Linked DNA regions of Drosophila melanogaster. The protein of the gene in region 2 interacts with the protein of the main gene of each other region in a pairwise test. Each region holds a gene or a part of one and is shown on either strand. Other genes may lie near its edges. The genes, in order: PolH and CG34386.

Region 1 (5,735 bases), on a different chromosome or scaffold from region 2:
GATTCCAGGCTTCTTCATGCCCCTGCTCATCATGGACCGTTTCGGCCGGCGGTACTCCCTCTGCGGGCTGATGCTAGCCAGCGGTCTTTGCTGCATCGGAACGATATTCACCGGCGCGGATCAGCCAGTGCTTCAATTGGTGCTATTTCTTGTTGGCAAACTGACCATCACTGCCAGCTTCCAGGTGCTCTATTTCTTCGCCTCAGAGATCTATCCCACGAATCTGAGAAACAGTCTGCTTAGCTTCTGCTCCATGATGGGCAGGTTTGGTTCCATGCTGGCCCCGCAGACGCCTCTTCTGGTGGGTGCTCAAAGCTACAAGGATCTCCTGTTATATCTAAGTGCTTCCTTTCCCTTTCTCCACAGGCCAAGTATTATGCCAATGCTCCTGCCATGCTCTTCGCCGGCGCCGCCATCGTGAGCGGCCTGCTCACGCTGTTCTTTCCAGAGACCACCAACGTAGTTTTACCTACAACAGTGCAGGAAGCGGACGCCATAGGCGTCAAGAAGCAATCGAAGAGCAAGGATCTTGATCTAGTCGTCACGGCCACTCAAGCGCAGTAGTTCTAACGTAATCTTATTTTAAGGCAGCCTGCAAATACAAAGACAAATACATTTCTCTTCAAATGTGTTATAACGCTAAGAACAAACCATACTATACATATAAAATATTTAGCATTGACAGAGCGTTGTGTTTTATTAATTAACGGATGGATGGTAATGGTAATGATCAACATTAATACTTAAGCCTAAAATTGGAAAAATAAAACAAAAAAAATTAAATCTAAGAGTTTCATTACTCGATTTGAAAAAAAAAATAATAAACAGCAGTAAAAAAAAGAAATAAACAATCCTAATCAATTTGCTGTCCAGAGCCAGATTGAGATTTTAATAACTAGGATATGTGCTAGCAAAAAATTATTATTGTTTTTTAATTTGGAATTGAATGTGAAAATGTTTTAATCTTAAAGTGAAGTAAATTTGTCTGTGGTCCATTCGTAGGTACTTATACAGGTTCAAATACTTGGAGCGGTGTAAGGGTTTCTCTAATTGCTTTGGCTGAAAAACTGGGCAATTGTCTTTGTTCCGCTTGAAGATGCAGAAATGGTTGAGTTCAGTTTCTTCTGAGATTGTTTCTTTGGCTGAACTGGAGATATTTTTTCTTTATTCAGAGCTGCGGTTCGAGTTCGCAGATCCTGCTGGTTTAGTTCACGTTGAAGGTTTCTGGCTACGTGGTAGTCTAAGTGTTCCGGCATGTCTACACACTTGATGAAAGCCTTACACTCGGGGCACTGATTCATCTGTGGATCACTGGGCGCTTGCTCCTGAGTTGGTTTGGCGCGGAAGAACTTGGTTATGCTGTTACTCGGTGGTGCCGTACTGTAGGAACTGCTACCAGAACCAGCCGTCTTCTTGCTCTTTTTGGGTGGCGTCGGCTTAAGAGATATCTTCTGTCGGCTCTGCGTCCTCTCTTCCCGCTCGGTGCTTCTTAGCGTTCGGCTTAGTTCCTGGGCGAAGTGATGGTCTCTATGTGTTTGTAGGGACTTAACTTCGTCGGGAATGTTTGCTCCGCACTGATCGCATTTGATAGTAGGCAAGATATCGGTGCGAAGGTTGGGTACTGCAAACTCTACGTAACACTCCTTGTAATTACTTACAGAACTTTCGATCTCATCGAACTTTCTTTTTGATGTTGAAGGCTTCAATTCGTCTTCAGTAAGCGTGGGAGGCACAATACCAGTTTCAACGTATAAGTCATTCCCTGTTGAATCATTCAAGGTGTTTGGATCCTGTTCTTGTCCGGCATCGGATGACTGTCCTTCAGGCTTAGACATGTGGGTATCACTAGTTAACTCCGTCTCCTCTTCAGTGTCTTCTTCAAAATCTTTCGAATTGTCAGCCTCAATGGCGTCCAATTCCTCGGCCAGCTCCTGCACATCTAAGGAGTCCTCCCTCGATGTAACCGACCCTTGCTGTCCTGTCTTTTTTTGTTGTTTTAGGTACTGTGAAAAAAAGCTTTCCTTGAACTCCGCTGGTGTTGATGTGAGAACAGTTCCTTCAGTCCTTACGGCCGCATGAAGCTTATGTTTGTATTCCTCTACGAAATTCTTGTTTGGAGCACCTGCTGCAGCAGCCAAGGGATTCGCAGAAATGCCGTCTGCTTTCGCATCCTCTTTTTTAGCTCCTTGCAAATAGTTTGCAAAGAAGCTCTTCATCTTAAATTCGTCCGTTTGCTTCTGCTTTTTCTCCATTTCAACTTTAGGCAGTTGCCCTGGCTCATCTCCACTTACCCTTCGTTTCTTGGCAGCCTGGTTAGCAAACATCTCCTGCAGCTTGTTTTGCCCACTAGAGACGGTTTCGAACTTGCCAACACTAATGCCAAGGAACTTGATAGCATTGTTTAAAGCAGACTCGCTACCAGGACGCAGAAACGTTTTAGTGTTTGCCTTGATTAGGTCTAGAGAAAGCCTTACGATGGACTCCTGGTCGTAATCTCTGAGAGCAGTCGAGCGGGAGCTGGCCACCTCCTCGCCGTCAATGTCCTGCACATATTGCACCACCATATGTTTGGCCCTGCGATTGTTCTCGATGAAGTCCTTCTCAAGGCGGTCGTTGATCTCGGAGGAAAGCTCACCAAGCCAATGTTGAAGGGTTTTCAACCCCGTAATGTTATTTCGACCCGGAAACTTTTTACAGCAGCCAATGCTTTTCGAATAGAAGCGGGGAGTCACGGCTTCCAGGTCTATGCCGCGAGAGATGTTAAATAGCCAGGTTCTGGAATAAGAGGAAATAAGTTACTTTGAACGTGGTCTACTCCTCTTAAGGGACCCACCCATTCTTCTCGTCAAACTTGCGCTGCAGATCTACCTCCGAAAACTTGACCACCTGGCCCATGAACTTTATGCCTAATGTCTCACACACCACCTCACCGAATTTGCCACCCAGCCCCTTGATCTTGCCAACAGGCAAGGAGTCGAAGAGGCTGGCGGTCTCCGTCAACGGCAAAATAGTCTGCTTGTTGGGCTTGTTCATTCCAGCTGCCAACTTGGCCAGGATCTTATTGTGCGCTATGCCAGCCGAGCACTCGTAGCCTGTCTCTTTTTTTACAGCCGCGCGGACTTCACCTGCCACAGAGGCTCCAATAAGAAGCCGAATGTCGCTTTGTCGGACGGCGGGAAGGTCGTTTTGGTCGTAGGACATCTGGTAGCGTTCGTCGTCCATGTAGGGATTGGCGAAGCGATTTGTTATCTTGTTGACGTAGTCGCCAATGCTGGGATAGCCCACAGCAAAGGTGTTCACCAGTTCCTGCGGTTGCAATGCAAAGGCTCCCTGCAACGAGGAAAATAATAATAAAACGCTTTAAAATTATGTGCCAGAGCTTACACTCTGCATCTGCTGCATGCGATGGTTAACGGTCTCCGTTATGTCCAAGTACGCCTCATCCACGGAAGCGCGCTCCAGGAGCTGCGTAAATCGCTGCAGCACGTTGGCCACCTCCTTGCCGGCATCGCGGTACTTGCTAGTATCGGCCTTCTCCCGGATATTCGGCACCTGGCAGAGCACGATCTCCGGACACAGGTCCTTCGCCTCGTCGCCGCGCATGTGGCGAGTGACTCCCTTGGCACGAGCGGCGTAGTTCACTGCTATGATGCCGCCACCTCGCCAGGGATTGTACTGGACGACGGCCAGCGGGCGGTTGCGGTATTCCGGATGCTGCTTCTCCTCCACCTGGCAAAAGAAGCAGTCCATGTCCACCAGCAGGACCACGCGGTCGTACTTGTTCTGCATGCTGACATGGCTGCGTGCGCTGGACATGATTTCATTTCGTATTATTGCGCGAATTTCACTGCGCGCCAGGAGTGTGGCCGTGGCGGGGACTTCTTAAAATACCGATGCATTTTTGAATACTGAATACATTAAAGTGTTTCCCATATTTAAATCTGATAAAAGAATTCGGAATAATAATAATAAAAATATGCTCTTTAACACATATCAAAGCAGTTGTGTTATATCTTCGATATAAATCATTTCTTAGTTAGATATTCCTTAAAGTAAAAGTAAAGAATTTTGTTGAAAACATATTTTCGATAGTAGTGGAGCTTTATACTTTTAAAGACTCTCTTATTACTAAGCTATTTAGAAATTCAAAATTAGAGAGTATTAAATAACGTACCCTTGTATCGATGCTTTGTAGTCTAGCGTAGTTTGAAAAATACTTATCTCTACCCAATCCGTACTTCGCATTAGAGCAAAACCTGGTCACACTATATTGGATATTTTATAGTTTGTCGTTTCTCACTCGGAAATAATATAAACAAACGCGAGTAAATATTATGTGCAGTCCGGGGAGTCCTGGGAGTTATATTTACGTGGCATAACTACCACCTAATAATAAGTAACATATATTGTCGGAACATCTACGCCGAAGAAGAATGCATTTCAGAAATCCTTAAACCCTGTCTTCTGTTTTTCTGTATGGAATAATAAAACGAGTTTAAACGTAAGACATTGCCAAAGAGTAAATTATTTGCCAAGTTTCCAGCGGCACCTTCTAACAAAATGCTTAGATATTGATTTTTCCATATAAGCCGCTGCCAAAATGCAACTGAAAACGCACACACATCTCTTAGTGACCCCATTCCCCGCCGTAACACACATTTGCATGTTCTGGCTTCTCCATTTCCCAAGTTCATTTGGGTTAACGCACGGATTACGCGGGAATTATTGATTTGACCGAGCGACCAGAAATAAATCTCAATCCTTGTCTATTTCCGGCTATGCCACTTCCGTGTCCGCCTCCTGGCCGGCTGTTTTGATTGATGCGCCGAGTGGTATGTCCAGCGAATGTCCAATGGCTTAATTGGGCTAACTCACGTATAGCTACTCGGAATCGGGGTTGGGATACCGGGCCCACTTTAATCGCCTCATAGAATGCCGGTGGTGGTGGGCGGCGGAAATCAGGAAGGGCGTGTTTTTGTATACTATCGTGACCTAATTTCCTGTCTGTTTACTCTATGGTCAAAGCGTACAATACAACAACGCAGGACTTCCACCTGAAGTAAAGGTGCAGCACTGACCTATTGGAATACTTGATGCCGCACGACGTTGGGACGGGTTCTTGTTTTACCAAATGTACCACTCTCTCTTTTAAAAAAGGTGTTCAAAAGTTCGATTGCATATCTATGATTCTGAAAGACGGATGGTGAATGAAAAAGGTGTACTGCGAGTGATATTTTTGGATTTTCAATTTAAAATGTATTTATCACAGTTTTATTTGCTTCCCTACTTTTTGTGACTCCAGATAGTATACATACATATATCGTAGATTAACAAAATTTTTACCGATTAAAGATTTAATTTTGATCGCGACTTTATCTACAATCCCGAAATATTCTGCGGCTAACTCTTATTAAATTTAAGTGCTTCACTTTTTAACTGCCCTATCCTAGCCTAGCTTGCCCATATGCGCTAGCCTTAGGCCTCATCGGCACATCCACTCTTCCGATCCCTAACCCCAGTATAAGCGCACAATTATGCTAATGGTTCACATGCCCAAATAAGAACCACTTGAGCCCCGCTAAGCGGTCCGCCAATCCACTGTCACTCGGACTTCTCCCTTTCTCTGTCCCACGCTCAGTCAGAGAACTCCCTGCTCTAGTGGCTGATTCACGGTGAGGCCATCAGTCTGTGTACGTCCGGCGATGAAGTCACTCCACTAAGCTGAGGGCTTAGTT
Region 2 (5,016 bases):
TACCGAATGCTAATCACACAATTTGTTATGTGCCAAATTTGAAACTAGGCTTTTGATTCACTTTAAGCCCACTGATTAGATGGAGAACTTTTACCAAAGTCAGGGGAAAAGCATTGGGCAAATACAAATTATAATAGATGGAGGCAGAAAAGCATGGCTAAAATAATAAACAATGAAAATTTTGGCTCTAATTTCGGGTCATAACACATTTTGCGAACAGACTAGAACCTAATTTAATTCTGTGTGAAAGGCATGGCATGGCGTTTGTTGTTTTTAGCCAAATTTCCTGTGGAAATTCTTGTCATTGCACTTAAATAATGTAAATATAATTTGGCTGTTTGAGCACATTTTATGCGAGACCATGTTTTTTCGGCAATGACGAAAATTGGGGACATGTTTTTGTTTGCCATTTCATTTGGCTGCATTCAGGTGACAATGCAACTAATTATAGTCAACAATGTGGCATGCCCCTTCCAATGTTCCACGCCCCTTGGCACCACTCTAAATAAATCAGAAAGTAATTAAAACAACATGAAATGCGACTGTGAGTTACAGTCGCAGCTTCGGCTGCCGTTTGAGTTCCAGTTTCAGTTTCAGTTGCATTTTCATTTTCATTTTTGTTTCCGTTTTAGTTCCAGCGGAAGCTGCACTTGCCATCCTTGTATTGCGGTGCTACCCATTTAGCAAGCAAAATAAAATGGAAAATGAAATTATAGGGCCAATTAGTTGGTCATTGGATACCCTAATGCAATGCAGGTCTTCTAGTTAGCCAGTTTCCAATAAATCATAAGCTAATTGGTAATCAAATGTGAATCATCAGGCTTTTATCTCATATTAGTATGCATCAACTTTCCATGAACTTTAAATAGTTTAATCCAATCCATATTAATGTAAAAAAGCAATCTATTTCAGAGTGCTTTCTGATGTTTCTTGAAACCCTACATTTTTTTTAAGGGTATACACCACAAAACCAACAATGACAACCATCGGTCGTGGAAACACAGCCTGAACAAAACAAAACTGGGAATAGGAAGTATCTTGGGATGGGTATTCGCCAGGATTCATGGGGAGGCAACAAGAGATGGCCAAAAGAGAAAAATGCAGAAGCAAAACAAACTTAATTTACGCTTATTTGCGTTGACAAATGCTTCCGAAGGAGTGCAACTTTTAATTGCAAAATTTATTTAATTTGCTCATGCGATGCGAAGCTAACTGATTAACACAGAGAATGCAGTAAATGCAGGCGCATTTAAGCCGAATAAAGCAGCGGAATTTTTCAGTTATCAGTAACATCTATTTAATCCGCCGATGGCTTCACATAGTAGGTGTCAGTTTCATGATAATTAGCGAACTACTTCGCTCGAGGGCGGCCATACGTCATGGCCAGTTGTCAATTGGCCGGAACGATTTATGGCCCAGTTTAATCAGCATCCGGCCGCCATAAAATGCGAAATCAATTTTGCCATGGCAAGCATTAAATTCTTTGAAAGTGACGTAGCAAGAAATGTACATTAGTTGTGGCGAAAGTGTGCGAGCGCTTTTTGCAGGCAGTGTTTCATTCTTTTTTTTTTTTTTGCCGCAGGCGGAATTTTCATTAAAGCATTTTTGATGTCTAATTTGCATATTTTTGCAGCTGGCCGAGTTGCATGCCGACACTCTGAGGCAGCCAAGTGACACGTTAAGCATTCAAAAGCGGGTGGAAAACTGGCATGGAAATTGGGCTGTAGAAAGTGGAAAGGCCCACTGCACTCGAAAGAAAAGTGCAAGCTCTTCTCTGCTGTCGGCGATGGCCGGCTGTCACTCGCTCCTCCACTGATGTTCTGCTCTTCTTCTCTTCTCCGCCATGGCTCAGATTTTGGCCAGGACAAAGTGTCGAGTGGCAACACTAATTCGCATGCTGCACGAACAACAGCAGCAACATGGAAAATGCACACAAGCCCATCCCACCCTTCCACTGAGGTTTTTTTTTTTTGTTTGGATTTTCAGCTAAATTTGTGCCAGCGCTTTTCCCGCTCGCTTTTTGTTAATTTCCAATTTTCAAACCATTTCTGGCTGACTGTGTGCACAGCTGCTCTGTCTGTGTGTTTGTGGGCGGGCTTGTGGGTGTGGGTAGTTTCGGTCAACATTTCGTTTGGCTCATGGCATTAATTCAATTACTGTTTGCATATTGCCAGAGATCCAAGCTCATGTAAGTTTTATCGTTACCGGGCAAAAGGAGTGTTGGTGTTGCACTCGCATTCTTGCGAGGAGAACTTTAAACTGTTCCCCCCAAAACTGCAATGGGCTTATGAAGCAGTGCGAGTAAAATCACACAGAGTTTTAGAAAAAATCTGGATTTGAAACTGACGGGTAAGAGGGCACCGCATGCAAATATTTTTATCAGAAAAACTCTCTTTAGAGTTGGGTTTTACATCTTTCAGAATTTCGAGCTAAGTATTCATGACTTTATAATCGTTTTCAGTGGAGCAAATAGTGAAGTGGAGAAAGAATTCCCAAATTTGTATTTCTATTATTTGTTCGTACACAACAGATATGTTGAACTTACCAATGCTTTGGAACACATGACGCAACAATGCAAATGGCTTCTTTTGATTTTTGCGAATATTCAAGGAACCTGATGAGTCTGGGGATATTTTCAAAGACAACTGACAGATCCTTGTTTCATATTTTGTAGCTGTAGAACTTATTTCCATATATTTCAGACACCGAAACAAATTTCTCTAACTTTTCACCGACGGTTCGGAGCGATCGCGACGCGATTTTGTTCAGGCTTCTGCGAATTGGTATTGGCCTTTGGTGCGAATGAGCCACCAGAAGCCAGATGCTTGGCCATTTATAATGTTGGCCAGAAGTGTTAGCCGTGGTTTAGCGCCATGGCCGATGCTTTGGCTAGATATGCCACCTGTTGGTATACAGGAGAGCGATTGACATTGGGAGCGGAAAAGCCAGCGGAACGCTCAAACTAATTACTCCCCTATCAAAGCCTGTAAATACAAGCGTGGTCAGTGAAAAAATTGCCGGAAATATGCAAATTATTTGATAATAGAATAAACTAGATGGATTTAATTAAATTAAATAGGTATGGTAATATCAATACTTTGTTTATATATTTTTTCAAACTACCATGGGTCTGTTTTTGTACTTTCTCTTTCTTTAATGAACCAAAAAAAGTGACTGCTATTGTGTTGACCTCCATTGTAGCTACATAGTAAGAAGGATAAAGCTGGACGCCACTGTCGGCGTCGTCATCAGCGGCATTATATAAAGTGCATACCAATGTAGAAGGGGCAACTAACTGAGCGGTGGCAGCTTGCTTATCGCCCCGCAAGTGTCGGCAGCAAGAGGGAGATAGGGATAGTTCGGCAAGAGAGAGAGAGAGAGAGAGAGAGATAGAGAGAGAGAGAGAGAGAGATAGGGAGCGAGGGAACAGGAAGACGCACCCACACTGCAGTGGAATATCCCGCCGCGCTGATAACATTTGAATTTTTGGCTTGATTTATGGCCATAACATGAAACTAACTCACTGACATATCGGAACAAGCTACAACAAAAAAAAAAAAACCAAACCAGCACTGCGATAGTACAACAACAACCACCGTGTATATCTATGGCAATTTTCACGCTGACGCAAATTGAATCGAGTTATTGGGGCATATTCATTAGCTTGTCTTAAAGTTTCACGAACGTCGACAGCTGATGCCCGAGCTAAAATTAGCTTTTGATATCTTTCATTGAAGCACAGGTAATTTCATAGATAAATTCTTTTACCCCTTTTCAAGCGGAAATCATTGAAATGCCAAATAAAATGACAGATTTCGTCTGTCATCATGTTTTTCTGACATTTTTGCATACACCCTAATAAACTTTTCAGCCATAACTTCTTAAATCTTTCAAATTATAATAACATTTAAACAATTTAAGTATATTAAGTTGAGTTTTTTTTCTTAAGATTGAAATTGGACTTGTTGAGTTAAAAAACCGAGCAAATGTGGGAAGATGCAGTTTTCCTCTCGTGTTATTTCTTTCCGGATGAACTTAGCATTTTTCAAAGCTGCTTCACATATTTGCAAAACGTTTGCTTTTGGGTTAAGCCCTTTTATTGCATTCTGCAGATGGCGATGTGACGTTGTGCCATTACTGACCCTCTGCCACTCCCTCGGCTCCTTCACTTAAGATCTAATAAACTTTACATTTGTTTGGCTTGGTCTACCCTCATTCAGTCTGCTGCCTGATATTGCCCAGTCTGAGCGCAATTTTTTTGTGAGGTTCTCGAGAATAGCAATTTTTATGCGAAGTCCTCATCTGCTGTTGGCCAACTTGCCTCCATTGTTGACTTCTACGTAATGCCTGTGCTTTTTGTGGCTTTTCGACTATTTCGCTCCTCACTCATTTCATTTCATTTTAGGACATTTACTTGGTCCATAAGTTTGTCAGTCAGACTTTTCACTGCCTGTTTCCTGGCTCCTCGGCACTTTGACATCTTAAAGTTTATCAAATAGTGGCCACAAGTTTTGCAGCTTTTGTGTATGTATATATATTTTCTGCGGTCATGCTTTGCGGTTTCTTCTTCTCGTTTCTATATTTATTTATGCAGATCTCTATTTTTCCACAAACTTCTGCTTCTGTTTTCGCCTTTTTGTGCACCGAATGCATAACGGGTTTTAGTTGAATAGCTTTATTTCACCATCATTTTTGCAATTAAAAATTATTATTTCAGCATACAACGCGGTGTATACGGTGTATGCTATATGCATTTTGCAGCGGCTTGGAAAATTTTTAATTAGATTGCGTTTTACTGGAATGCTTACTTCACCATGACCCACTGAAATTCGAGTGCATTCCACGGGTGTATCCACGACCAAGGACAAGGACAAGTACATTTCTATTATTACCACCTCCGTGTGGTGGATCTGGTTTAATTAATTTCGGGACTGCAGCTTGTCAGTTATACAACTTATACTGCATGCGTGTGATATAAGCTGCCGACTGCCGTTATCAGCGTATAATCATTATGGA

Evidence for each region.
Region 1: the proteins of CG34386 (region 2) and PolH interact in a two-hybrid assay, tested with the Drosophila melanogaster proteins (one large-scale study listed by BioGRID).

Annotation. Positions count from the first base shown.
Region 1 is NT_037436.4:21,937,954-21,943,688, forward strand, and holds PolH (DNA polymerase eta), read right to left. Parts: upstream 3,860-5,735; 5' UTR 3,817-3,859; coding exon 3,385-3,816; intron 3,331-3,384; coding exon 2,834-3,330; intron 2,776-2,833; coding exon 1,047-2,775; 3' UTR 681-1,046; downstream 1-680. Other genes in the region: SLC22A family member, read left to right, coding at 1-301, 367-564. UniProt on the Drosophila melanogaster protein: DNA polymerase specifically involved in the DNA repair by translesion synthesis (TLS). Plays an important role in translesion synthesis, where the normal high-fidelity DNA polymerases cannot proceed and DNA synthesis stalls.
Region 2 is NT_033778.4:18,060,469-18,065,484, reverse strand, and holds the start of CG34386 (uncharacterized protein), read right to left. Parts: upstream 3,071-5,016; 5' UTR 2,564-3,070; coding exon 2,546-2,563; intron 1-2,545.